Macaca mulatta: one gene and its partner. The main gene of each other region encodes a partner of the protein of the gene in region 2 in a complex. Links are inferred from orthologs where the notes say so. Each region holds a gene or a part of one and is shown on either strand. Other genes may lie near its edges. The genes, in order: RAB6A and GCC2.

What was found.
Region 1: the proteins of GCC2 (region 2) and RAB6A are in contact, whole or in part, in a crystal structure (PDB 3BBP), measured with the Homo sapiens proteins. The link is inferred for Macaca mulatta from reciprocal best matches to the Homo sapiens genes GCC2 and RAB6A. Residues at the interface, in NP_852118.2 of Homo sapiens: Thr1585, Ile1588, Leu1589, Glu1591, Gln1592, Leu1595, Leu1596, Glu1599, Arg1602; in NP_942599.1 of Homo sapiens: Lys15, Ile46, Gly47, Ile48, Trp67, Arg74, Phe75, Ser77, Leu78, Ser81, Tyr82, Asp85.

Annotation. Positions count from the first base shown.
Region 1 is NC_133419.1:74,148,489-74,152,399, reverse strand, and holds the start of RAB6A (ras-related protein Rab-6A), read left to right. Parts: upstream 1-1,389; 5' UTR 1,390-1,791; coding exon 1,792-1,861; exon of another isoform or gene 1,862-2,130; intron 2,131-3,911. UniProt on the Homo sapiens protein: The small GTPases Rab are key regulators of intracellular membrane trafficking, from the formation of transport vesicles to their fusion with membranes.
Region 2 is NC_133418.1:19,016,656-19,020,563, reverse strand, and holds the start of GCC2 (GRIP and coiled-coil domain-containing protein 2), read right to left. Parts: upstream 3,107-3,908; 5' UTR 3,038-3,106; coding exon 3,023-3,037; intron 2,689-3,022; coding exon 2,632-2,688; exon of another isoform or gene 2,588-2,631; intron 1,221-2,587; coding exon 1,136-1,220; intron 1-1,135. UniProt on the Homo sapiens protein: Golgin which probably tethers transport vesicles to the trans-Golgi network (TGN) and regulates vesicular transport between the endosomes and the Golgi.

The DNA of each region.
Region 1 (3,911 bases), on a different chromosome or scaffold from region 2:
TTTTTTTTTTTTTTTTTTTTTTTTGAGACAGAGTCTTGCTCTTGTTGCCCAGGCTGGAGTGCAGCGGTGTGACTTTGGCTCACTGCAACCTCCGCCTCCCGGGTTCAAGGATTCTCCTGCCTGAGCCTTCCGAGTAGCTGGGATTACAGGCACCCACCATCACACTACGTTAATTTTTTGTATTTTTAGTAGAGATGGGGTTTCATCATGTTGGCCAAGGCTGGTCTGGAACTCTTGACGTCAGGTGATCCACCCAACTCAGCCTTCAAAGTGCTGCGATTACAGGCATGAGCCATCACGCCCGGCTTTTTTTTTTTTTTTTTTTTTTTGAGATGGATTCTCGCTCTGTCGCCAGGCTGGAGTGCCATGGTGCGATCTCGACTCACTGCAACCTCTGCCTCCCGGGTTCAAGGTATTCTCCTGCTTCAGCCTCCCGAGTAGCTGGGGCTACAGGTGCGTGCCACCACGCCCAACTAATTTTTCTATTTTTGGTAGAGACAGGGTTTCACCATGTTGGCCAGGATGTTCTTGATCTCTTGACCTCGTGATCCACTCGCCTCCGCCTCCCAAAGTGCTGGGATTACAGACGTGGGCCACCGCGCCCGGCCTGCTTTACGGATTTTGCAAGTCATTTTCTCTCTCTAGGCTTCAGTTTCCTCATCTGCAAAATTGGGAGGCCCTGATTCTGACAGTTATAAAATTCCTGGGAGCAATGGAAGATAATGTTATTTAGTAAGATGCTGTGAGAGGAATTATGATGAGAGGGTGAAGAAGGTGGGGTGGGTGCACGGGTGAAGAACGGATCTGAGGACTGTGAGGCACGGCTGAGGGCTCAGGAAAGAGGCACCTCTTACAAATTTTAAGGCTATAGGACCACCCACACTTTTTGGGGGATCATATTCCACCTTTATCCCGGCCCCGCCTCCGCCCCACCCTTCTCCCCTCCCCTTCCTTCCCCTCCTGTCCCATAAGACTGAGAAGCGCCACACTTCGTATGGCCGCCACACTGGTCCGCTTTCCACTGCTCTAGGGTTGCGCGCGCTCTCACGCTGCCACCTCACTCGCGTGTCTGCTCGCCCTCGGCCCCTTCCGATTGGCTCATTACGTAAGTGACGTAAGGGCTCCAGCCTCCTCCTAACTTATCCCTGGCTTGCCCCGCCTCCTCCTGGCTTCTTCTGGCGCAAGTGGAAACCTAACCTGCCCCGTCGCCGCCGTGCGGGAGGAGCCAGTAGAGCTGTCCAAACCAGGAAGGCGATAGCTATGGCGGTGGCGCGCACGCACGCACGCACGCCAGCGGCCGGCGGGGCCGCAGGCTCGCGCCCGGGCTCGCCCCGCGCCGCGCCAGAGGCTCGCGCACTCAGCAGGTTGGGCTGCGGCGGCGGCGGCAGCTGTGGAAGCTGAGGCGCTGCGCGTGAGAGGTCCCAGATACGTCTGCGGTTCCGGCTCCGCCACCCTCTGCCTCTCTCCCCCAGGTGTCGGAGTTGAGTGCGGAAGGAGGGAACTGCCCTAGCCTAGGGAAACCAGAGCACACCCCTGGCTCCTGCCGACACCGCCCTCTCCTTCCCAGCCGCGGGCCTCGCTCGGTGCTAGGCTACTCTGCCGGGAGGCGGCGGCGGCTGCCAGTCTGTGGAGAGTCCTGCTGCCCTCCAACCGGGCTCCTCCACCGGGCCTTGCAGGGGCCGAGAGAGCTCGGCGCCCGCCCTTCCGCTCGCCTTTTTCGTCAGCCGTCTGGAGCAGCATCGGTCCGGGAGGTCTCTGGGCTGAGGCGGCGGCAGCTCCTCTAGTTCCACCATGTCCGCGGGCGGAGACTTCGGGAATCCGCTGAGGAAATTCAAGCTGGTGTTCCTGGGGGAGCAAAGCGGTGAGTACGTGGCTCCCCCACTCCTGGCAGCTGGCCCCAGCGTCCCCGCACCGCCCCCGGTGCGGCCCTTCCGTCCGCGGAGGCTCCCAGCCCGCCTAGCGTCCGCGCTCGTTGCCACTGCAGCCCTTCCCGATGTGCCCCCCGGTGCCACTGGCTCTCCGCCTGGATCTGTCGGCCGAGATTTTACCCTGTTCCCCGGGTTCTTCAATCCTTGACTCGCCGTCTCCGTTCCCCGCAGTCCGGCCGTCTCCGGTCGATCTGCCCCCCCTCCTCAGCCCTCACCCCGCCCAGCCTCTTGTCCATCCCTTTCTTCCTCCGGTCTCCGTCGTTTCCCCTACCCCAGTACCCTTTCTTGAGCCCCACCCTTATTCCTTGCTCTTTTCCCAGTTCCTCAGCTCTGTGAGGCCCACTCAGGGAAGCCCTACTCCTGAGAACGGGCCCTCTTCAACCTTGGCCAAGGAGGGTGGGATCTGGGCGTTGTTTTCCCCAGAGGCTTGGCCCTGAGAAGTGCTGATGTCGTCGAAGGTGGGAAGGGGTGGTCGTAGAAAAAATTATTAAATGGTTTTCACCTGGGTGGGAAATTAGTCGGGCCATAGAGGAAACATCTGAATTGGAGACGACTTGAGCATGGGGTGGTTGGGGGTGAAAGGGGTAGCGTCGGCAGTGGAGATTTTTGCCCTTTAGGTTAGATGGGGCTGTGGCTTGTCGGAAAACCTCATTTTGTTCTGTTGACTTCCATCACTGACAATTCTTTTGGCAGTGTTGATGATTTTTCAATCTCTGCCAGATGCTATGTCATGATCATTTTACTTGGAATATTTCTCATCTCACCTACCCTTTTTCTCTTTTCAACATGAAGCAGCGTTTGAGTCTCATGGTGGTACAAACGGGAATTACTGGGGAAATGTTAATTATTCATTTCTTGAGTATTTTCCAATGATATATTGAGGATTCATGTGAGAGAAGGCTTGGAATAACAAACATCTTTGTTTTGTCAAATTTCCTTTGGAAAATGGAGTAGAGTAGAAATAAACTCATCTAGTTATCTAAATTAGATTTAAATACCATTTGGGCTAAATAATTCTTTTATGCTTCATATTCCGTACTATCTGATGAGTGAAATTGTTATGTCATTTACCTGGTCAGGTTCTGCTGTCACTGTACTTCCGTATTAGATACAAGATCCTAATTTTGTGATGGTCGTTTCTACGATTACTTCTTGTAGTAATTTCAGTTTTATGCTGTATTATACAAACTTGACACTCGACAATTCAGGGACGATTACCCTCCTTTGTTTTTCTCACACTTTGCATGACCGTCTTTAAAATTCAGACATTGAGAGACTAGTTCTGAGTCATCAAACATTGAGTACCTACTAGGTGTTTTAGGTGAGGTTATAGAAAACATTAATTGTTTGTTTTGACTAGAAGGCATATAAGTGATATAAACTCATAGCTTTTATTACTACTTTGAACTATTTATACTGATTTGTATGCCATTACAGAGGTTAATACCCTTGCAAAATTGCCTCCCGTTAGAACTGGGAAATCATTTTTCTCCTTTCATATGTAGATTATCTTCCCCTCCTCCCTTTTGAGGGTAAAAATACGATCTCCTTGCTTTTCGCTTACATATTTTCCTGAGGTAAGTATAAACTTGTGTCTTTAGGTGAGTAACTTGGTAGAACCTATGGAGTTGATCCTGGTCCAGCTTTTATATGTCAATTTCAGGATAGTTCCCAAACATAAAATAAAGCTTATTGATCATTATTGGTAAAAAGGATCCAAAGTGCTTATTGTGCATTCTAAGGATATTATTGCCTTTCTTACGTTGTGATGCACAGCTATTTAGTTTGCATGAAAAAACTCATTCATCTCCCTGTCTAAAAATATTTTAGCATGAAAGGAGTGCTTAACTTCCTAAGTATCTTCAGGTTTCCTTTGAATTTCTTGAGTATTTGTATATGTTCTAATTCATAATGGAGAGTTTTATGGCTTCTAATTTCGTACCTTGTTTAAGCCTCTACTACCCTCCTCCCTCCATTACTGAA
Region 2 (3,908 bases):
TGATTAATCTCTGCACTCATCACTATGCTTCAACATTATTACATGGCCAATTTTGTTTCCTCCCAACCTGTATTCACTTCCTCCTTCACTGCTCTTATCCATCTGATAATTTTCAAGCATACTCCAGACATCATATTATTTCACCTGTAAGTACATATAACCTTAAAAGCCACAATCGCATATTAAGAATAAACATTATTGAGAACGGCCTGGCCAACATGGTGAAATCTTGTCTTTACTAAAAATACAAAAATTAGCCAGGCATGGTGGTGGCCGCCTGCAGTCCCAGTTACTCGGGAGGACTTGGCAGGCTGAGGCAGGAGAATCGCTTGAACCCAGGAAGGGGAGGTTGCAGTGAGCTGAGATTGTGCCCCTGCACTCCAGCCTAGCCAACAAGAGCAACACTGTCTCAAAAAAAAAAAAAAAAAGAAGAAGAAACGAAACGTTAATCGAAGTGTTTCACTAGCGAATGCCTAGATCTCAGGCCTAGAACTTCTTTCCAAATAAATTATTCTCTTTATTGCAAAGTGATCCAAACTCCCAAGACATAATTTTATCTTTTCTAATAGAAAACAAGTCTCGGCTTTTAGGCTAAGCAGTTAATATTTGTAAGTCACTGGAAATTCAAGAGCTCATGTACATATACTAAGAAAAAGATCTAAGATCTTTTTCCTTCTGGAATAAAAAGAAAACTGAATAGGGAATCAATCAACTTCAACAGATAAATATACTTTAATGTCTATAAATGGAAATCTTTTATTATTTTAATTGAGGAAGCGTTCCATCTCTTTGGGCTTATCTTCTGTCTCTAACATTTCAACTGACTTCTCTTGAAAAAACGCTTTACTCAGAATAATCTAAAGTCTACATGAAGGAAAAACACTTAACTTGCACAAACTTTAAAAATCCTCCTCCCTGACTTTAACAACTCAAAAGTCACTGTGGTTTAAAGACGTGGGAATAATTTAGAAATCAGAGGTAAATTTTTAGAATGTTAAATAACAGATTCTACTACACTAAGGTGTACTTGGAATCACTGGAAAACAAAAACAAGCCAATGCATTATTTTAAAAACTACCATTTTAAACCACGATTAAAGAGACTGTGATCAAGATGAGTATTTTCAACCCAATACCTGTACACCTTGACTTAGCTTTCTGTATTAGCATCATCTGTTTCTTGGCAAACTTGATGAGGTCTTCTTTGGGCAATGTTTCCAGCTGAAAGATGTGGTTATGTTACCAACTTGTTACAACTCATGTTTCTAGTATACCACAAAAAACAAACAATGTCTGCCAGAAAACAAAAACATTCTACAGAATAAATCTTTATGCCAACAGCATACTTTGTTCCACTTTTTTTTTTTTTGAGACAGAGTCTCGCTCTATTGCCCAGGCCGGAGTGCAATGACACCATTTTGGCTCACTGCAACCTCTGCCTCCCAGGTTCAAGCAATTCTCCTGCCTCAGCCTCCCAAATAGCTGGGATCACAGGCGCCCGCTACCACGCCCGGCTAATTTTTGTAGTCTGAGTAGAAACGGGGTTTCACCATGTTGGCCAGGCTGGTCTCAAACTCCTGACCTCAGGTGATCCACCCGCCTCGGCCTCCCAAAGTGTTGGGATTACAGGCGTGAGCCACCGCGCCCGGCCACATCTTTTAAAATAAGCAAATGCAACGTCAACTCTGTAATTGCTATGCAAGTACTAAAAATTAGTTATGCGACTACTATTAAACGCAAATACCAGGGCATATCCTCTTATAGCTAATGTTACAGGTTGACATTGCTAGCTTTTGATTTAATTGTAAAATTAGTGGGTTGGAGCTAATGCTACTTAAAATTGCTTGGAGCTGTAAAAGTATTTCATTCTATTTAAGGCTGAAAGTGTCACAAGAAAATGTAAGCATAATTACAGCAGCAAGATGAACCAGGTGACATTCAGGCTTTAATTAAAAAATTAAGCTTTACCACTTGAAAAAATTACTTAAGCCTGTAGTCTCAGGTTTAAGCTTTACCACTTGAGAAAATTACTTAAGCCTGTGGTCTCAGGTTTCTCAACAACAGTACCTATCTCACGGTTATCATGAAGCTTAAATGAAGTAACTGAGTGGTTAGGCAAGTGCCTGAAATTTAGCATGCAAGCAATAAACCTTAGCAATAAACTACTATCGTTTAGCATGATTAAATGTTAAACACCGTACAAGGCCATAAAACTGGACTAATTCAACGCTTTGACAATGTAAAAACTGGAGCCCACAGATCAGAATCCCTTGATCCCTACCCTATGTCACTGCTCCTTCCACTACATCACTATATAAACCTTCTTAAATTAGACTGCTTTGTTTCATGTTCGAAAAATCGCAGGATCTCCCAGCAGTGCTAACCAGGAGCAGGAAGTAAACAAAAAGTCTTTTTATATCGGGGTGGGCGGGGGAGAAAGAAACAGGAAATGGATTGGTGACTGCGTCAACTAAAATTGAGATCCCTTGGAGCAAGGATATTAAAAAAATAAATTATATGTGTGTGTGTATATATACATATATATATAGCGCCCCCCTTCTTCATGCCAAAGTTTTCCAATTCATCACCCTTCCAGTCTTCAGGGAGCCCGCTATTCAAGTATCCTCTTCACCTTAGATTTCCCGGTCCCAGGGGTAGCTGGTGAAGCCACCCCATCTTGAACAGGATCCTGCAAAACAAAATCAAACGCAGGTGTCAGAAGAACTCTTTTCCTAATCCCACACGGAACGCGTGGAACCTTTACAGGGAAAAACCTTCTATGGAATCAAGTGGTGGAAAGCCTTGTGAGACAGAGAATGAGGGCGGACGGAGGCGGTCGCTGTGGCAAATCGTATACAAACGGGCTCTATGGGGACAGGTAACCGCCAGGGATGGAGTTTAGGGAAGATGTGGCAGGCGACTGCAGAGCGGGCTTCGGGGTACCCTCCGCGCCCTCCCACCGGGCCCACCCCCACATCCCAAGTAGCTGCGCGGAAGGCTTGATGGGAGGCAGTGGGCCCGACCTGAGTTACCTCCATCGCCGCCTGCCTGCCGCTGGCCCGCAACCAGCCGCCGCCACCGCTGCACTTCTGTTTGCGCCAGCCTCTGACGTAGGCTCGACTGCAGGTCAAAGGTCGCGCTCTCCGGGCGGCCCGCCCCCCGCGTCTCCATAGCTACGGCTCGGCAGCACTTCCGCTTACGCCTCTGTGTCCGGGTTAAGGTTTCCCGCGCCGCGCCGAGGGCGGAGTTGGTGTAGGCGTTCTACCTGGGGCTCGACCCCTGGGCCTGCGGGTCACAGGGTAGGTGTGGTTCCCGCCACCGCCGGTTATTGGCATGGGAACGCGGGCCGATTACCCCTTGGGGCCTCGGTTTCCACGTCTGTAAAATCTTGTGAGAGTGAGGAGAGCATTGGATTGAAGTACAAGTCCCTCAGGCCCCGAAGGTGTCTACTAGCCTGCGAGTGCCTGCGGGACCCACAGTTGCTTCCGGGGGTGGCTCCTTAGGCATTTGTGGCCAGCATGGTGCCCGGGAGCTCCGTGACTCACAGGTCAGTGATGAGGTGGAGGACTTCCCTGAGGAGGCGTTCCTTGACTCTGGAGGCTGTGAGGAGGTCCCGGGACAGCTCTGCCCTGTAGCCGCCCAGTACTGCTGGTGATGTGGTAGAGGCAAGATAGTCTGCCAGGGAGCTGGGCAGCTGTGGGAGGAGACTCTGTAGAATAGGGGGCACGAGGGCACGCCGAAGAATCTGTGGTCGAATCCCAGAGCTGCTGCAGTGTCCTGATTGGCGGTCCAGTGCTCTGAGAGCCTTTCTGTTAACTGCTGAAGTGGTTTGCTACACTTTTACCTTTCCATTCATGTTTTCCATACACTCCCATAACTAAGGTGACCTGAAGATAACTCAGTTTCCTG